Neurospora crassa OR74A: one gene and its partner. The protein of the gene in region 1 interacts with the protein of each later gene in a biochemical or structural test. Links are inferred from orthologs where the notes say so. Each region holds a gene or a part of one and is shown in the gene's direction. Other genes may lie near its edges. The genes, in order: NCU06389 and pp4.

Region 1 (8,062 bases):
AAAATTCCCATCTCAAATCATACATCCGATATGCTTTGGCACGTCAAAGCCCGACTATGGCCACACCGCACATCGATTGTGGGCTGACTTGTCCAAATTTACCACATGTGTATGTGTATTGAGTTTCAGTCAGCTAGGAGGATATCTCGGCGATACCATCAATGCCCAATTCGACATTGTTCCTTGCTGATTGCAGCCTCGAACAGGCAAATTCGAGATAAGCATGGCTATTCGGGCAGGATGCGATTGGCCGGAATACAAGACTGACGGGTTCCTGGCGTAACCGCAGTACCGGCATACGCACACAAATCCAGCCTCCTGCAGCCTGTTTCCCGATCACATCGTGGCACATATCTTGCTGTCACCCGAAGCTAGCAGTCAATCGCGAATCTTGAGCCCAGAAGAGGCAGCCTGCCGGTGCTGTGCCGATGCTGTTGATCTCGGGTGATGCATTGATGATCCTCCTAATGCTTTTTCCACAGGCCAGGGCCATCGTGGCAGGAGTATTATCTTCATGATTGCAAAGCCAATCGGCTTCGGTGCAGCCCATGACATCGAGAAAATTAGGCGTCGGGGCTTGGAATTCGGATACGGCATGGCCAAGACCAAGGCCCGTCACGATAGTAGCGCTCGCCACGATACGGAGTGTTCCTGCTCTGTCTCAAGATTTGACCATGGCTAAAGTACGGCGTCCCGAACCTGGTGTGTATCACCTCGTTAGCAGTAGAACACGACGTGGGAGGAGAAGAAGAAGAAGAAGAAGAAGAAAAGAAGAACAAAACTTTCAAGCCGTATAAAGCCATGGCCAGGCCTGTCTCAGGAGATCAACAATCCAGCCGCTGCCATCATCCGACGGATGCTGCATTGGCTTGTGATTGTCGAAGATGTGATTTCTGTCACCATTCGAGTCTGTTTCAGAGGAGCAGAAAGCTGGCGTGGGGGTTTGAAGGACAGATGGTAGCTCTTGTTGCAGATGATTCGCTACGTTCCTTTTCCAAGGTGACAAGTGTTGGAGGCGTTAGCTGCGGCAATCCCGGGCTACATGAATGAACGCGCAACGGAAAGCAAGAAAATTCTTCGCTTGTAGCATTTAGCCCTCGTTGTATCATGCCTCCAGACCACAACGTCTTGAATTTAGAGACACGAAGTGTACCGTTGCCTTTTGAGTGGGTGACATAAGGCCATGTCCCGCCACCCGAGGATCCTCCAGATATCGTGCAGAATAAACAAACAAGACAAAAAAAGAAAAAAAAAAAAAGCAGTGTCAGCATAGCCTTAAGTTGTGCTGGCCAAAATCAGCGGCAAATAGGTAGGCAATGGTAAATGAGAAAGGGGAGCATCTTGAACCTTGAAGCCAGGGTCACTACCTCATCCCCGAGGTGGATATCGTGAAGCCCGGGGGGGTTTCCAATGATAAGGTGCCAGTGCTCAAGCGCCTAGAGTCTGGTGGCTGGACTGGAAGATGAAGATGTAATTGTTGTCATGGACACCATCGTACTCGCCGGTGCTTGAGAATTGGAGGTGGTATGTAGTGGGTGTTTAGGTGTGCGATAACCGCAACGCTAGCGCACCGTGAGAGAGATGATGCCACAGGATGTCGACGACGGGCAATATGAAGCCGAGACAAAGGAGAGGCAAGTTCCACGATGTTAGTCCCACCGGTTTTAGTGTACACATGTTGAGACCTTCTTTTTCTGGCGATGGTAATTCAGTGGGGCTTGAGACCCAGAGTCGGGAGTTCGGGTTGAGACAAGCGGGGGCGGGAGGTTAAGGTTATTCAGAAGTGGATCCGGGCCTGACCGGACAATGTGGGTCCCGATAAATTACCTCGAGTCGGGTGTGAGACCCCGATAACCTGGAAGACCCCGAAAGAATAGAACGGCACCGCGGGAGAGAGCGGGAGCGGGGTGGCGTGGGAGCGGGGATACCTGAGGGGAACGCCTCTGACAGCGGAGTGCCCCTGGGAGGCCATGTTGCCGACAAGAAGGCGTCCAGCGAGACAAAGGTACGAGAAAAGGTAATTACAGGTAATTGGTGGACGTGCCCTGGGAACGCATTCAAATGGAGATAGGATCATAAGGCATGCTGTCTCCACTTTAAAATTGTCCTCCACCAGCGACTTCGCTTTGAGGTAAGGTATTTGGCTGGAGGATTGTCGCTGGCGTACTTCCAGGATCCTACTTCTTCCATCCGACCATTCCAATTGTCAGTCTGTGACTCCAGTGCTTCAATGTCTCGGAATGGAGACGTGAAGGTCATAGCCGGAATGGGGAACGGGGGAAGTGGAGCTCGAGATCCTTTGACCTAGTGTACAGTATGCAAAATATTTGTGGCAGCCGGGAGACGTGCTTTTGACCGCCCCAGAGATAGGGCGGAGGGGGTGGATCTCATCGATATAAATGTGACATGGCCTGGATTCGGGCACTGGGGGAACGAGCTGGGAGGGTAGAAGTTTAAACCCTAAAATCCCAACTTTTGCGAACGAAGCTTTCGGAAGAGCAGCCGAGGTGCGCGTGTCATGGTGTGCACTGGGTGCGTCAAAGCAGCGAAGTACCTATGCTTAATAAGACGTTCCGCGGCGCGTCCACTTTCTCTTAACATTGGTAGAACGCGCTTTCATCTCTTTCGCGGCATTGACGTCAGCATTGGTTTAGTTCATTATCAGCAAGCCAGACGGAAAACCCTCCATCGTGAAAACAGTCAGTATAGAGATAGAGTATCTTTTCATTCTGGCATCTGACTTGGACTTCCACGGGCGGCCTGACCTTCCATTTGCCCTTGTCTGCTGGCACCTGGCAGCCTAGGGGTTCCGGCGCGCTAAGCTTGATCTGGATTGTTAACAGAGATGCACGCCAAGATCCGCGCGGCAGGGTAGCTAAAGCTCGAGCCAAGCAACAAATGGCATCACAGTACCTAGAGGTACCTACGTACCGACATGTGTAACACTGAACGTCGGGCACGAAGTCACCTCACAGCACTTCGACAGGCGGTGCTTCCACCCACTTTGCACGCTTGACGGGCAGTTTCCACTTTCAACCATCCATTCAGCGAATCTGTTCGCGGCTCCCTCCCGTTCGGTCCCCGTCTCTCCCCGCGGGTCACCCACTGGTTTTCGTCAAGCGTCAACAAGACCCCGTCGCCCCATTGCCCCCGTAGCTCCGTGCCCTGCCCTTCCCCCATCAGAGGCTTCACGAGACATCCTGAACCTGGAAGCCGGTCGTCGCAACCTTGGGCCTGCAGCAGGAACGGGATTTCCCAGCGCGATTGACCCGCGATTTCATCATATCTTGCGGCAACGCCTAAGCCACTTTCTTCAATCTGACCCTGCGGCGCGCTTAGTAGTAGTCTCTACCTGGTCTCATTCAATTCAATCTCGACTTGACAGGTGCGCTTTTCCTCGTTATCGCCTTTCGCGCTTCCCAGATCGGCTGACAAGATTCCATCGCCAAGTCGCCATCTCGAGTTTTTTTTTTTTTTTTTTTCTCAAGTGCTTTTTTGTGGTTTCTTTTTTTACTCCCTCAGCTCCTAGCCATCGCGCTATTGCTCGCTACCTTCGACTTTGCTACTCCTGGTACATCTCTCTACAGTATTACCCTTGGCCCCCGGCGGATACAGATACAGGCTATCTCGACCTTTTCTTCAGCCGACCGCACAAGGCTCGACGACTTGCTGCCCGTCGGGTTATCAGAAGTTCAGAACGTCCTACCTCTACGTACCCGTAACAGCCTGGCGTGAGAGCAGCAGAACCCAAAGGCGGGACGATTCATTTTCTAAATTAATATTGGTCTATATTATCCCAATTTTCTTGCGACGTCACACCCCCCCGACGCCGCTTGCGCCAGACGCCCGTATCCCAATTTCCCCCCGAAAGTCCAGAACTTCGACTTCTCCACACTGTCAACCCGTTTCATCAGACCTCGGCCTTATCTAGCGCGATTGCTCCCGTGCGACCCTCAGCCCTCCCCCATCGCGCGCAGAATCCGGCGCGCATCGCTTCGATAAAAAGTGGCGGCACTTGCGGTTATCAGTCACGCCGGGGCCGAATTACCTCTTGAGCACCAGCATATCGATCTGTCCGACGACCTGCTCGACCACGATCAGACCGTCCCGGAGGGGGACGCCGATTCCTTGATGATGGCACACCCGGTGCCTCATCACACAACGGACAAGAAGCGCGTCAAGGTCTACGAACTCCGTAACAATGACTGGTTCGATCGCGGTACCGGCTTCTGCACCGCCCAGTTCGTCCCCGTCCAGGAGAACCAGCCAAAGGAGCCCCGCGTTATCGTCGAATCCGAAGACCACCCCGACCGGCTTCTACTCGAGACCAAGATCGTTAAAGACGATGGCTTTCAAAAACAACAAGGCGCGTTGCCCTGAACCATTACCGTCGACCCCCACCATCGCACTGCTAACTGTCTTTACAGATACCCTGATTGTATGGACCGAGAACAATGTGGATATGGCCTTGAGCTTCCAGGAAGCCGAGGGTTGCGCCATGATATGGTTGGTCCCATCTCCGCGATTCGTCAATGTATGCGCCCGTTAATCATCATGTCAGGAAATTTATTGACGGCGTCCAACAAACCTTCCACAATGTCCTGGGCGGCGCCGACGACAGTCTCTCCGAGGATCTTACTATGGATATGTCAAACTCGACTTTCACGCTCCCCCCGGCCGATCTGGCGAACCTACCCGACCTCGAGAATATCATGCGCCAGATGTCCAATACCGCTAATGGCCGCGAGATGCTGGTCAAGTCCATCATGGAGCACGACATCATACCCTCATTAGGCAACCTAGTCGAGATGGCGGAAGATCTCGAGAGCCTCGACGACCTATTTCGTCTTTGCAACATGACCAAGACGATGCTCCTCCTAAACGACACTGCAATCATTGAAAAGGCTGTTTCTGATGAATGTGTCCTCGGTGTGGTGGGTGCCCTCGAGTACGATCCCGACTTCCCGAAGCACAAGGCGAACCACCGGCAGTGGTTGAGCAACCAGACCCGTTTCAAGGAGGTGGTCAAGATTGAGGATGATACAATCCGGCGCAAGATTCAACAGACCTTCCGCTTGCTGTATCTCAAGGATGTGGTTCTGGCCCGAATCCTAGATGACCCGACCTTCTCCGTCCTCAACTCGCTCATCTTCTTCAACCAGGTTGATATCATCAACCATATCCAGACTAACGGTGGGTTCCTAAACGACCTCTTCTCGATATTCGCCGACCCCTCTGCGCAACACCTACGCAAAAAACAGGCCGTTACTTTCCTCCACGATTGCTGTGCCATCGCCAAGAATCTTCAACCACCAGCAAGGCAAAATCTGTATACCAATTTCCTTGGTCATGGTCTTGTTCGTGTCATTAACTTCGGCTTGTGTGATCACGACGTCACTGTACGAGTTCATGCTACTGATATCCTCGTGGCCATGATTGATCACGATCCCCAGATGGTTCGGCATACGATTTACCGACAGCTGCAGGAACGTCAGAAGCCTCTCACTGATGTGATCATCGACCTTCTTCTGGTTGAGGTTGATCTCGGTGTCAAGTCGCAAATGCAGGATGCCCTTCGGATTTTGCTCGATGTGGCGCCGATCATGCCGCCAGATGCAAGAGAGTATCCTCCCAACCAGCAGCGATTGAGACAGCTTCAGAGCATCGACCCGCAGCAAGAACTTCTGATACAGCACTTCTATGAAAACTCGGCCGCCAGGCTTTTTAAGCCACTGCTCGATCTCGAAGGGCAGACGGAGTTGAAGTTCCAGCCCATGCAGGAGTACATCTTCGGCTACCTGAACGACATACTCTGCTCCTTCATCCGACAACACCAACACAGGGCCAAGTACTTCCTCATCACCCACAGTCTGGCACAGCGCTTCGTTCAGTTGCTTTCATGCAAGCAAAAGCATCTGCAGCTCGGTAGGCACAGCAACTTGGGAACAATGGTTAAATTGTCGAGCAGAGGAGGCTAACCTGCATGTTAACTGCTTTTAGTGGCCATTCGATTTATCAAGCAACTGGTATTGATGAACGACGAATTTTACATGAAGCACATTGCAGAGAAGCAAATTCTCGGCCCTATTCTCGATGTGCTATTAAGAGCGATTACCCGCGACAACCTTCTTTGTTCAGCTTGCCTCGATCTTTTCGTCCTCATTAATAAGGAGAATGTTAAGGACCTAATTAAGCACCTCGTGGAAAATTACCGGGAAAAGATTATGGCGCTGTCGCACATGGATACCTTCCGCGAAATGGTCAGTCGGTACGACCAGACGGAAGGCTACACAACCAATCCCGAGTATTTCATGGATGAAGACGAAGATGAGGGACCAACTGCGGCCGAGAGCGAAAGGAGACCGACGAGGCCGACCTCCGGTCTGATGGAGGAACAACTCACCGTCGACCAGGCTCAAGAGGAATACTGGAACGGCGTATCGGACGAAGAGGATGAAGGACCTCAAAATGACTCCCATCGTACCAACGGCACCGCTACTACTCTTCCTCTGCTGAAGCCCTTAGTCGAATACGGCTCGGATGATGAAGACGGCGTGGCGGGTGATGAGGCAACTGCCCCAGCAAAGAAGGACGATGAAGACAACAGCGCAAAGTCGAACGGCGAACCACCAGTAACACCAACAAAAGGTGGGCCGGCCACAGCCGCCGCTGCCGCCGTTGTCGCCACCCCGCCAGAGAGGATCTCTGAGAAGCGGCGCCGTGAAGAAGACGAGGATGACGATGCGTTCGACAAGTTACTGCAGTCCAAGCGCCGAGGGAGCAATGCCAGTGCCGCGAGCGCCGGTGCAGACATTCGCAAGAAGATGGGTATCTCTGAGGATGATGGACCTGCGGCCGAGGGTGCCACCACCGAGGACAATGGTACTTCAATGGCAGATCGCACATCTCCTAACCCTGCTTCCCCTCTAGCTGCTGCCACCGCCGTCACTACGAGTCTAAGCACACCAAAGAAAATTGCTTTCAATATCTCTTCCAAAGTCAAAAGCATGCTTGGTGGTGGTGGTGGTGGGAAACCTTCGGAGCCGGAGGCAGATCCCAATACAACAACGACTAGCGCGAATGATAAAGCGCAAGAAACTTCAATAACAACGGGTGCTACAACTGCATCAGGAAAGGAAAATGTGAGGATAGGAGAAAGAGAGGAGAAGGAGGAGGGGAAGGAGACTTCAAAGTCAGTGGTACAAGAAGTGGAAGGGGAAGAAGAAGAAGATCCAAACGCAATGAAAGACTAGAGGCTGCCTTGGGTTGGGTCAAGGAAGGCAACGCGAAAGGGGGGAATGGGAAGGAAGGCAAGGAAGGGGAAAGGCGGAAAGTGAAAGCCAAAACTTTAGGGAGGCAAAATAAAGGCGAAAACACACATATATTCTTCATAGATATGGATTGGCACCGTACCGATTTGATTCACCACCTCACAAACAGATGAATATAGCCTGGTATATTTACAGTTCAACAATTTGTTCACGTCTTGAACCCGGTATAGTCGCATCGACAAGGCCGGGGTTCATGAGGCCCCCCCTCCTACTAACAGCATAGTAGTGTACATCAGATAACATTGTTCCCTCCTCTAAATTATTTTCATTCATTCATCCATATCAATTGGTCTGCATGGGTGCCCGCCAACCCATGCGATACGATGCAATACGATACGATACATTAGAGCTTTGAATCGGTCAACCCGGCTTTTTCATATCAGATTCCATAGGTATAGTAGTATAACCAGCTACTCTGACCAGGCCATTTGCTGTCCATCCCATTCATGCCCATTCCCGTGATTATAAGTTGCGAGAGGTATAAGACGTTCACATGACCAACATCAACTAGCTTTTGAAGTATATGAAAAAAAAAAAAAAAAAAAAAAAAAAAAAAAAATTAGAAAGTAAAAAAACACGGTAATATGAGAGGAGTAAGACATCTAAGATATTGTCAAGGGTCTGGCCTTTTCCTTTTGGTTTCATCTCTTTGCGTCCTTGAATACTGAAGAAAGAGAAGTGATATTCACACCCATAACCATAATCTTTTGAATGAAAACTTTGTGAAAATG
Region 2 (7,917 bases), about 190 kb from region 1:
ACACTTCAAGCTGATGGTGATTCATGTTTCGTAAAGCCCATAGAACAGCTGACGGCCATTCCGTGGATTCTCAGTTTTGGTTAATTTGAAATTCCTGGAAGTTGACAGTGAAATGAAGGAAGTAAATGAAGTCAAGGTATGGACGAGGGAGCTGCATGTCCATTGACCAAGATCCACCCCCACGTTGAGGTTGGATCTGGGGTGCATGAAAGAGTCCCATCCGCCCCCGCTGCGAACCCCTGATCGCAACGCCAAGCTCTAGCAGGGTTCGGGTTCGACGGATTCCATTGATGAGAGCATGTTTTTTGGTTGATCTTGTGCCCTCATAACCGCATATTTCGGTCTACTAGCGCTCTGAGCCTAAACAGAATGTACAAGCATAATGTACAAGGGTAGATGCGTTCCGCAAGGGGACTCTCGCGTATCCGAGCTGCTAAGATGCAACATCCCAGATAAAAGAAAGCAAAGCCGGCTGCGTATTGCCGTCTGGACTTTTTGGCGGTACCAAGCTACGAGTTGAACTCCTGTTGGGGGTGGATGAGGGAAACGACTGGAGCCACCAAGACGCGAACGATGTAGGTAACAAGCTCCTGGGTAAACCTGGACAGACCGGTGGTGTATTAGACTTCTTTGACGACATCTCAAGAAGCAGGTATGTGGCCAAGCAAGGGCTATGTAGTCTTCGATTGTATCACCCACACAGGACTGTATGGTTGAACAGAAATTCCTGCCGGTCTCATTCTTCGATGAGCTCCAACATGCTGAGAAGGGTTCATGTAGGAATTCGTATGAGGAGATGATTTATTTGAGCCAGATAGGGTGCTGGTTAGTCGGGCTTTACATTCTTCATAAGGCGTGACCTGAACCGTTGGTTGCTGAACAGAAGGCTCGTTTTGTGATCGGGCTACATGCCGGCCGCCTTTTGACCACTCACTGCGAGCAATGTGACCCGGGAAATCTGATTTTCCAAACAAAAAAAAACCAAGGAACGGCCAACACCATGATGACTCCGTTCGACATATGGCCCATATCCGTGGATCGAGCAGCTCGTAGGTACAAGATTGATCACGAACGTCGTCTAGTTACAGAGCGTTATTATGGGGTCATTGCGATCCCATTCCCCCGGAGATCCAGCATTGTGTACGGTGTGGTCATCACCTGTTGGACGGAGACGAAGGGTCGTTGATATCGTTGTCTTTGTGGAAGCCGAGCATGCTGCCGAGCATACCCCCGGGCTTGGGCACTGGGCACTCTCTCTTCAGAGCTCGTGCCCTGCCTACGTCGCCAGACCCAGGCTCTGTCTCAAACTGCAGGATTTCGTCTTTGCCTTCGGTGTTTTCCACGCGTCTGCGTCTGCGTCTCTTGGGCTGTCCGTCGGCAGACATATCTCCATCGGCAAAAGCGACCCTGGGGGCGGGACACGGCAGGATGTGAGGGACGCCGACAACAAGGAAGCTGGCCACAACAGTTGCTGCGAAGAGGGAGGAAGTCATACGCGACCTCGGGTGGAGGTGAGGTGGTGGCATGATGAGTGGTATTCGGATTGGAGGGCGGGCGGGGTGCTTGACCAAGAGAGGTCCAGAGGAAGGGGGGTCTAAGTTTAGGGGAGCTTGCGCCAATTTCATCAGCCATTGAGGTTCGCGTTTTGGGCTTTGGGCCGACGGGACTCACTCGTGGCTTTTGCAACACTTAAAGGACCATCATGCGCGTTGGGAACAACCTGAACCCTTGAATATCACGAGATTGCAGCGGTTAACCTCAACGCGCAATGAGGAAGTCAGTGAGGATGAGGTATGTGCCACACAGGTGGGCAGGTTACTTGTCAAGATCGTCGTTGAGCGAACTGGACCGTGGACGGGACCTGTCGTCAAGCTCCGGGAAAATGGAGCTTCGATTGCGCTTTAGTTCCGTTCTCGAAAATATTTCGTCAGTGGACCCCTCGTCAGCTTCAGCTCTCAAAACTTCAATGGGCAGCTTCCCGCGCTGTCCCGCACTGGAATGGAAAGTGCATCTTCGCTCCTGCACTCCCGCCGCCCCAAGCTTCCTCCACGGCAGCTACACAGTACGTACCTAGGTACTAGCGCACACTACAGTACCTGAGCTCGTCTGGTGCCGAAATCTAACCAATGGCAGCTAGCGTGCTTGTCTCTTTACAAGTGCATTATGGGCGACGGCTCGCAACACGTGCACTTAACGGGGCTTTTGCACTTGCTGGTATCTCTCTCTCATACCAAACTGGGAATCCGGGCCGCCATAGGCTTGCACTTGATGGGCTACTTCTACCTTGCATGCGTTTGTAGAAAAGGGTACTGTATTTACCTCAGATGATGTAAACTACTATGCAGAAGGTAGGTATCTAGCACCTACGTACTGTGTACTGACCCGTTCGACGTTCACTCTCCCCACCAGACAGGGATTTCTACGGTTCACTTGGCAGTTCCAGGTCCCTGGGCCTGTCGCTAAAACTCCTTGCTCCCTGCTTCTTGCTGGATTGGCGACCGCCGCCATACCATTCGTGCCATTGTTGTCGAGGTTGTGGTTTCGCGCCATCCCCAGTCTCCCGTCGCAAAAAAAACAGAGCCGCCAGCCTAGAACACCTCAGCCCTGTCAACAGATCATTCGCCGCATCCCCACGACAACCATCAAGACCGATTCCAAAAGGGTTACTATCTGTGCTTGTTGCATCTGCAAGACGGACCACCAAACATTTCGGCATAGCATGACGCGAAGCTGACGCGACCCTACGAGACACCGCATTTCAACTTCTATTCTGACATACAAGCCTCTGCCCGGCTCAGTCCTCCTAACTGCGCGGCATCCACTCGCAGCAAAGCAGCATTATCTGTTATTCATAAGCCTCTACAGCCATGAGTGATCTGGACAGGTTAGTGCCCCGGTGGTCTTGCGATCGGGCATTCGCAACCACCCGCCGGCGACTATTGCTCGTGGTGTCTGACCTCTTTGGTGGATAGGGCGATCGCTCAGCTGCGAGCATGCCGGCCAATACCAGAATCAGACGTCCGCGAACTCTGTCACAAGGCCCGGGAAATCTTGATCGAAGAAGGAAACGTAGTTACAGTCAATGCGCCGGTAACGGTACGTCTCGAACTATCCAGATCGAAATACACACATGTCGAATCTAACCCAACGGCAACAAGATATGTGGAGATATTCATGGCCAGTTTCACGATTTGATGGAACTGTTCCGCGTCGGCGGCGATCCTCCCGATACCAATTATCTGTTTATGGGTAAGGCTGTCCCTGGTCTGTCAATCATGTCGTCAAAATCATGTTAAGCTGACTATTGTATTGTCGGATGTTGATAGGTGATTTCGTTGACCGTGGCTTCTACTCGCTCGAAACATTCTTACTTCTTCTCTGCCTTAAAGTTCGATACCCCGACCGCATGACCCTCATCAGAGGCAACCACGAATCACGACAGATTACAACTGTGTACGGTTTCTACGATGAATGTTACAGGAAATATGGCAGCGCGAATGTTTGGCGCTACTGCTGCGATGTGTTCGACTATCTCGCCTTGGGCGCTATTGTTCTTGGGGCCTCCAATACCATCTCACCAAGCGCCGGCGAGTCCAGTATACCAACAACACCTGAAGGAGGCGAGGTGGAAATCGAGGTGTGCAACGCACAGGGCGAGGTAATGAGCAGGTTTCCTCGGCCTAACAACGGGGCAGACAGCGATGTACAGAGCAGGACCAACGGGATACCACCACCGAGTAATACAGGCCCGCCTGGCTCAGGAGCGTCGGGATTGAGCAGAGGATCAGTGGGCAACCCAGCCGGCGCCGTTCTATGTGTGCACGGCGGCCTTAGTCCGCTGATAGACAAGGTTGACAAAATCAGGCTGCTGGACCGAAAACAGGAGGTTCCACATGAGGGTGCTATGTGCGACCTCTTGTGGTCCGATCCGGACGAGATTGACGGTTGGGGGTTGTCGCCTCGGGGTGCTGGCTTCCTCTTTGGTGCCGACATCGTCAAAGTGTTCAATCATCGCAATGACCTCAGCCTGATCGCCCGTGCCCATCAGCTGGTCATGGAAGGTTTTAAGGAAATGTTCGATGCCAGCATCGTTACCGTTTGGTCAGCACCAAATTACTGCTATCGCTGCGGAAACGTTGCTGCACTTCTTGAGCTATCGGAAGACGATTCAGGCTTGGGTGTGCTTGCCCGCAGTAATGGCGATGTCAATCGCAGTAATGGCGGTGCAGGATCTTCTGGAGGGCTTGGAGAGGGTGAGCTACAACCGATGAAGGGTCCAGCAAGGCGTTACCGGGTCTTCCAGGCGGCTCCTCAGGATTCAAGGGGAATGCCAGCCAAGAAGCCAGTGGCCGACTACTTCCTGTAAACCCGATACCGGGCATTTTTTGGAATATGTTGTCCCATGTTCGGTCTACGAGGACAGGTTTGACTACATAACTTGCGACATGTAGCTCAGTGTGCGTATTATTTTGGGACACTATACCCCAGCGTCATGGATTTTGGGTTGAAAGATCTTTGTCCAGGAAAACCCAAGAAATGGGCCTGCAATGTCTGGTCGGGAAAACATTGGCATGAAATTCGTTAAATAAATCGACCGGACATAGTATTTGAAACTGCCAGATAGATTTGGCACACCCAGGATCGTAACTCTCCTGTATGGGTGTGAGTCGAAGTTCGAGCGATAGGCTGAGCCATCGTCTCCCTCATTCCATTATGCAGGGTCCTATAGAAGCATACCACTTTTGAATCAACGTGAAGATGACGGAACCACTCAGCTCCTACCAGTCAGTATATATGAAGTTCACTGCGAACATAGATAGGCCAATTCTCAGATATGTTGCCATTGAGTGTCCGGGAAGCGGTAAGGCAGAGATCGGGAGCAAATCAGGCTACATGGAAGGTAGAATGGACTTATCGACGGCAGTTCCGATCCGGGATGATCGGCTTCGGACGCGCGCCGGCCCAGCTCCATCCGGTGCGGGTCCCAGGTCGCCGTGTCCGCTGTCTTGATGCCGAGTCATGAACCGACCGAAAAGCTCCGCACAGCCAGGAACTGAGGTCCGCCGAGGCCCACCTCGATTAAATAGACAGTCGAGGTTTCCACAGCAGCTTACCTTGTTGCTTGCGTTTACACCAAAACATGCGAAGAACATTGTTAAGGCATGTTCACGATTCAAAGTCATGGAAGGTGGGCTCTTCTCTGTGAGTTCACTAGTATTCGCCAATAGTACGAAACGGTAAGAATAGAGGTAGTTTCCTCTATAATCCATTACAGAACTGATCCACATCAAAGTTAGCTTTATTCACGACGTAGCCAGGCTCTGGAGCACCAACGCAAGACGGCCAGCGGAGGGTAACCGACGTTGAATGTATTCCGAATATTGCATTACTACCACCAACCGGCCGGCCTCAACCAAGCCAAGATGTCCTGTTATTCCATCAAGCCTTTGGAAGCCATGTACTGTATGACCAAACGGCCGGGGTGGCAGGGCCTATGCCCAAATTTACTTTTTCTCCTGTGTCGTCCCGTTCTCCTTTTGCGCCCGCTCATACTCGATAATCTGTCTGCTCCAGCTAGTGGAGGTAATATCGGTTGCGTCAGCTTAAGAACATCCCCGCGGTCTGCGCTCGCGGAAAACGTTACGCATGTATAAAAATTTGGATGGGGGTCTGTCTGCCAGGACATACTATCTGCTGGGATAAAAGCGACCAGGCTCGGGCATCTTGTGACGGTACTCTTTCTCGGCGCTAAGCTTCCAGACTGCGGCAGTGATGAGGAAGACGACGCCACCGAGAACAGCCGTGTTCTTCTTCCAGTTGGCCGGCTGGGCGTACCAACCACCCGAAGGCGACCAGACGTGTTTGGGGTAGCTGGAGTGAAGGGCGAGGCAACGATTAGGACGGATCCATGACACAACGCAGGCTGGGTTGGACAGAATGCGCGGAGGGTTTGCGCATGTCGAGGGCGATGAAACTCACGGAACTTGGGGACCGCCGCCCTATAGACAGGAAAAATAGAGAGTTAGCAGACACAAAACATAGTAGTGATGATGGCTATTCTAAGCAATCGGGTGGATACGCACCATTGTGATGAAGTTTTGGGATATGTGGTGAGGTAGGTTGGACGTTCAACGAGGAATGATTCTTTCCACCTCGCAGTTAAGCAAGATCGGTTTGTACTGTCAACTTTGCGATGCACTGCGAACGACGGCACAATAGTGGTGATGCTTCAGCGGGAACAATTGGATAGAAGGACGAATGATGAATCCGCCTACAGGCTGACGAGGGGCTAAATCGCATCAACCATCCAGGCCTGAAAGTCACCATGTCACTCGTCCTAACTGGGGCCGAGGGCGCATGCGACAGACGGGCGGCGGGCGGCGGGCGGGCAGCTCCCGCTTGTCCACCACAGTGCACCGTATGCTAAACAGACAGCGCAGATAGTGGATTGGGGTCGAAGATGGATCTTGTGGGGACCCTCACTGGGCCAACAACGAATCATGTCAGCCGGCTTTTATGTCTCGGTCTTGGGGGAGTAACCCCTGCGCTTGAGCACTGATTCACGGCTCTGGGTGGTGGGCTTGTCTAGTGTACGGGTGGTGAGCGTTCAGATTGGAGAACTTTTTTTTTCTACCCGTGTTCGACGGCCGGCCGAGTCTGAACGAGAACCCATCCGATCAACGCGCGACTCCGACCGGGATCCCGAGTAGCTTCCCACCCCGCGACCACCGGCTCACCACCTGCCCGTCCGATTTCCCTCACTCCATCCTTTTCTTGGCAGGGCCTCCAGACGGCGCACACTTACGGAACCTGGGCCCCAGCACGTCAACACCCGGTTGTCGAGCCGACCATCACCCATCAAATATATCGCCCATGAAGAGGATAGCAACGCCCAGCTTGACGAGCCGGCTGCTCGTCGCCGCTCGCTCCGGAGTGTCGCCCGCCACTGCCGCCATCCGATCCCGATCTGCAATCTCGGTGCGATCGCAATCGACAGCTGCCCTCGCTCAGCACGATGCATCCCACGATCTCAACAATGATCGGTTCCCCCCGCTTGAGCCCCTCCCCCCCGCGGCCGAGTCCCTACCGTCGCCCCTCCCCGAACGGGCCTTGACCTCGGCCAAACTGGCCGCCCTCCACGCCCGTTTGAATCTTTCTCCCAAGATCCCCTTACAGACATTGGCAAGGACACTGGTCGACGCCTCGGCCGACGAGAACCCGCAGTTCAACAACGCCAACCTCGCCTTCGTTGGCCAGACCCTCATCAACTACCATATTGCCGAATGGCTCCTCTGCAAATACCCCCGTCTACCCCAGGGAATTCTCTTCAGTGCCATGAAGGCTTATGCCGGACCGAAGCCCTTGCTCCAGATTGCGCGGTCATGGGGTGTTGATACCGCCGCGGTGCCCGGCGGCGAGGTGGATCCCGGTCTTCTGCAGTTCGATGCCCTTAAGCCCGGCGTCGCCATCACAAATTTCGGCTACAAGCGTACAGAGCTCGCCTACCTCGAGAAGTTCAAGTGGCGTCGCGGTATGGCCTCGCGTGTCGTTCTCGACGACGACTTTGGTGATGTCGTGCGCAGCGACCCCAAGGTTGCCGCCGATCTGGAGAAGGCGATGGAAGAGCAGGATCAGGACAAGACTCCCGACGAGGAGGAGGCCGAGATGGTCGCTAATGAGCAGGACCAGGACGTGAGCTACGACCGCTACGGCAACCCCGACACCCGGGCCGCTGCTGAGCGGGCCCACGCCTACTTTGTGCGCGCCGTCGTCGGTGCCATCTACGCCCACTGCGGCCGCGAGGCCGCCAAGGCCTTTGTCAAGGCGCACATCATGTCGCGCACCCTCGACATTGCCAAGCTCTTCGAATTCAAGTACCCCACCCGCGAGCTCGCCGCGCTCTGCGCCCGTGAGGAT

The links.
Region 2: the proteins of NCU06389 (region 1) and pp4 form a complex in vitro, tested with the Saccharomyces cerevisiae proteins (2 studies listed by BioGRID). The link is inferred for Neurospora crassa OR74A from reciprocal best matches to the Saccharomyces cerevisiae genes PSY2 and PPH3.

Annotation. Positions count from the first base shown.
Region 1 is NC_026504.1:2,673,535-2,681,596, reverse strand, and holds NCU06389 (DUF625 domain-containing protein), read left to right. Parts: upstream 1-3,105; 5' UTR 3,106-3,385; exon of another isoform or gene 3,386-3,450; 5' UTR 3,451-4,131; coding exon 4,132-4,366; intron 4,367-4,427; coding exon 4,428-4,506; intron 4,507-4,561; coding exon 4,562-5,925; intron 5,926-6,000; coding exon 6,001-7,253; 3' UTR 7,254-7,597; downstream 7,598-8,062.
Region 2 is NC_026504.1:2,483,021-2,490,937, forward strand, and holds pp4 (calcineurin-like phosphoesterase), read left to right. Parts: upstream 1-2,454; 5' UTR 2,455-2,867; coding exon 2,868-2,884; intron 2,885-2,972; coding exon 2,973-3,096; intron 3,097-3,158; coding exon 3,159-3,249; intron 3,250-3,326; coding exon 3,327-4,366; 3' UTR 4,367-4,841; downstream 4,842-7,917. Other genes in the region: NCU08302 (hypothetical protein), read right to left, coding at 1,155-1,526; NCU08300 (uncharacterized protein), read right to left, coding at 5,505-5,574, 5,689-5,871, 5,980-5,999, 6,084-6,086; NCU08299 (mitochondrial 54S ribosomal protein YmL3), read left to right, coding at 6,874-7,917. UniProt on the Saccharomyces cerevisiae protein: Forms the histone H2A phosphatase complex in association with the regulatory subunits PSY2 and PSY4, which dephosphorylates H2AS128ph (gamma-H2A) that has been displaced from sites of DNA lesions in the double-stranded DNA break repair process.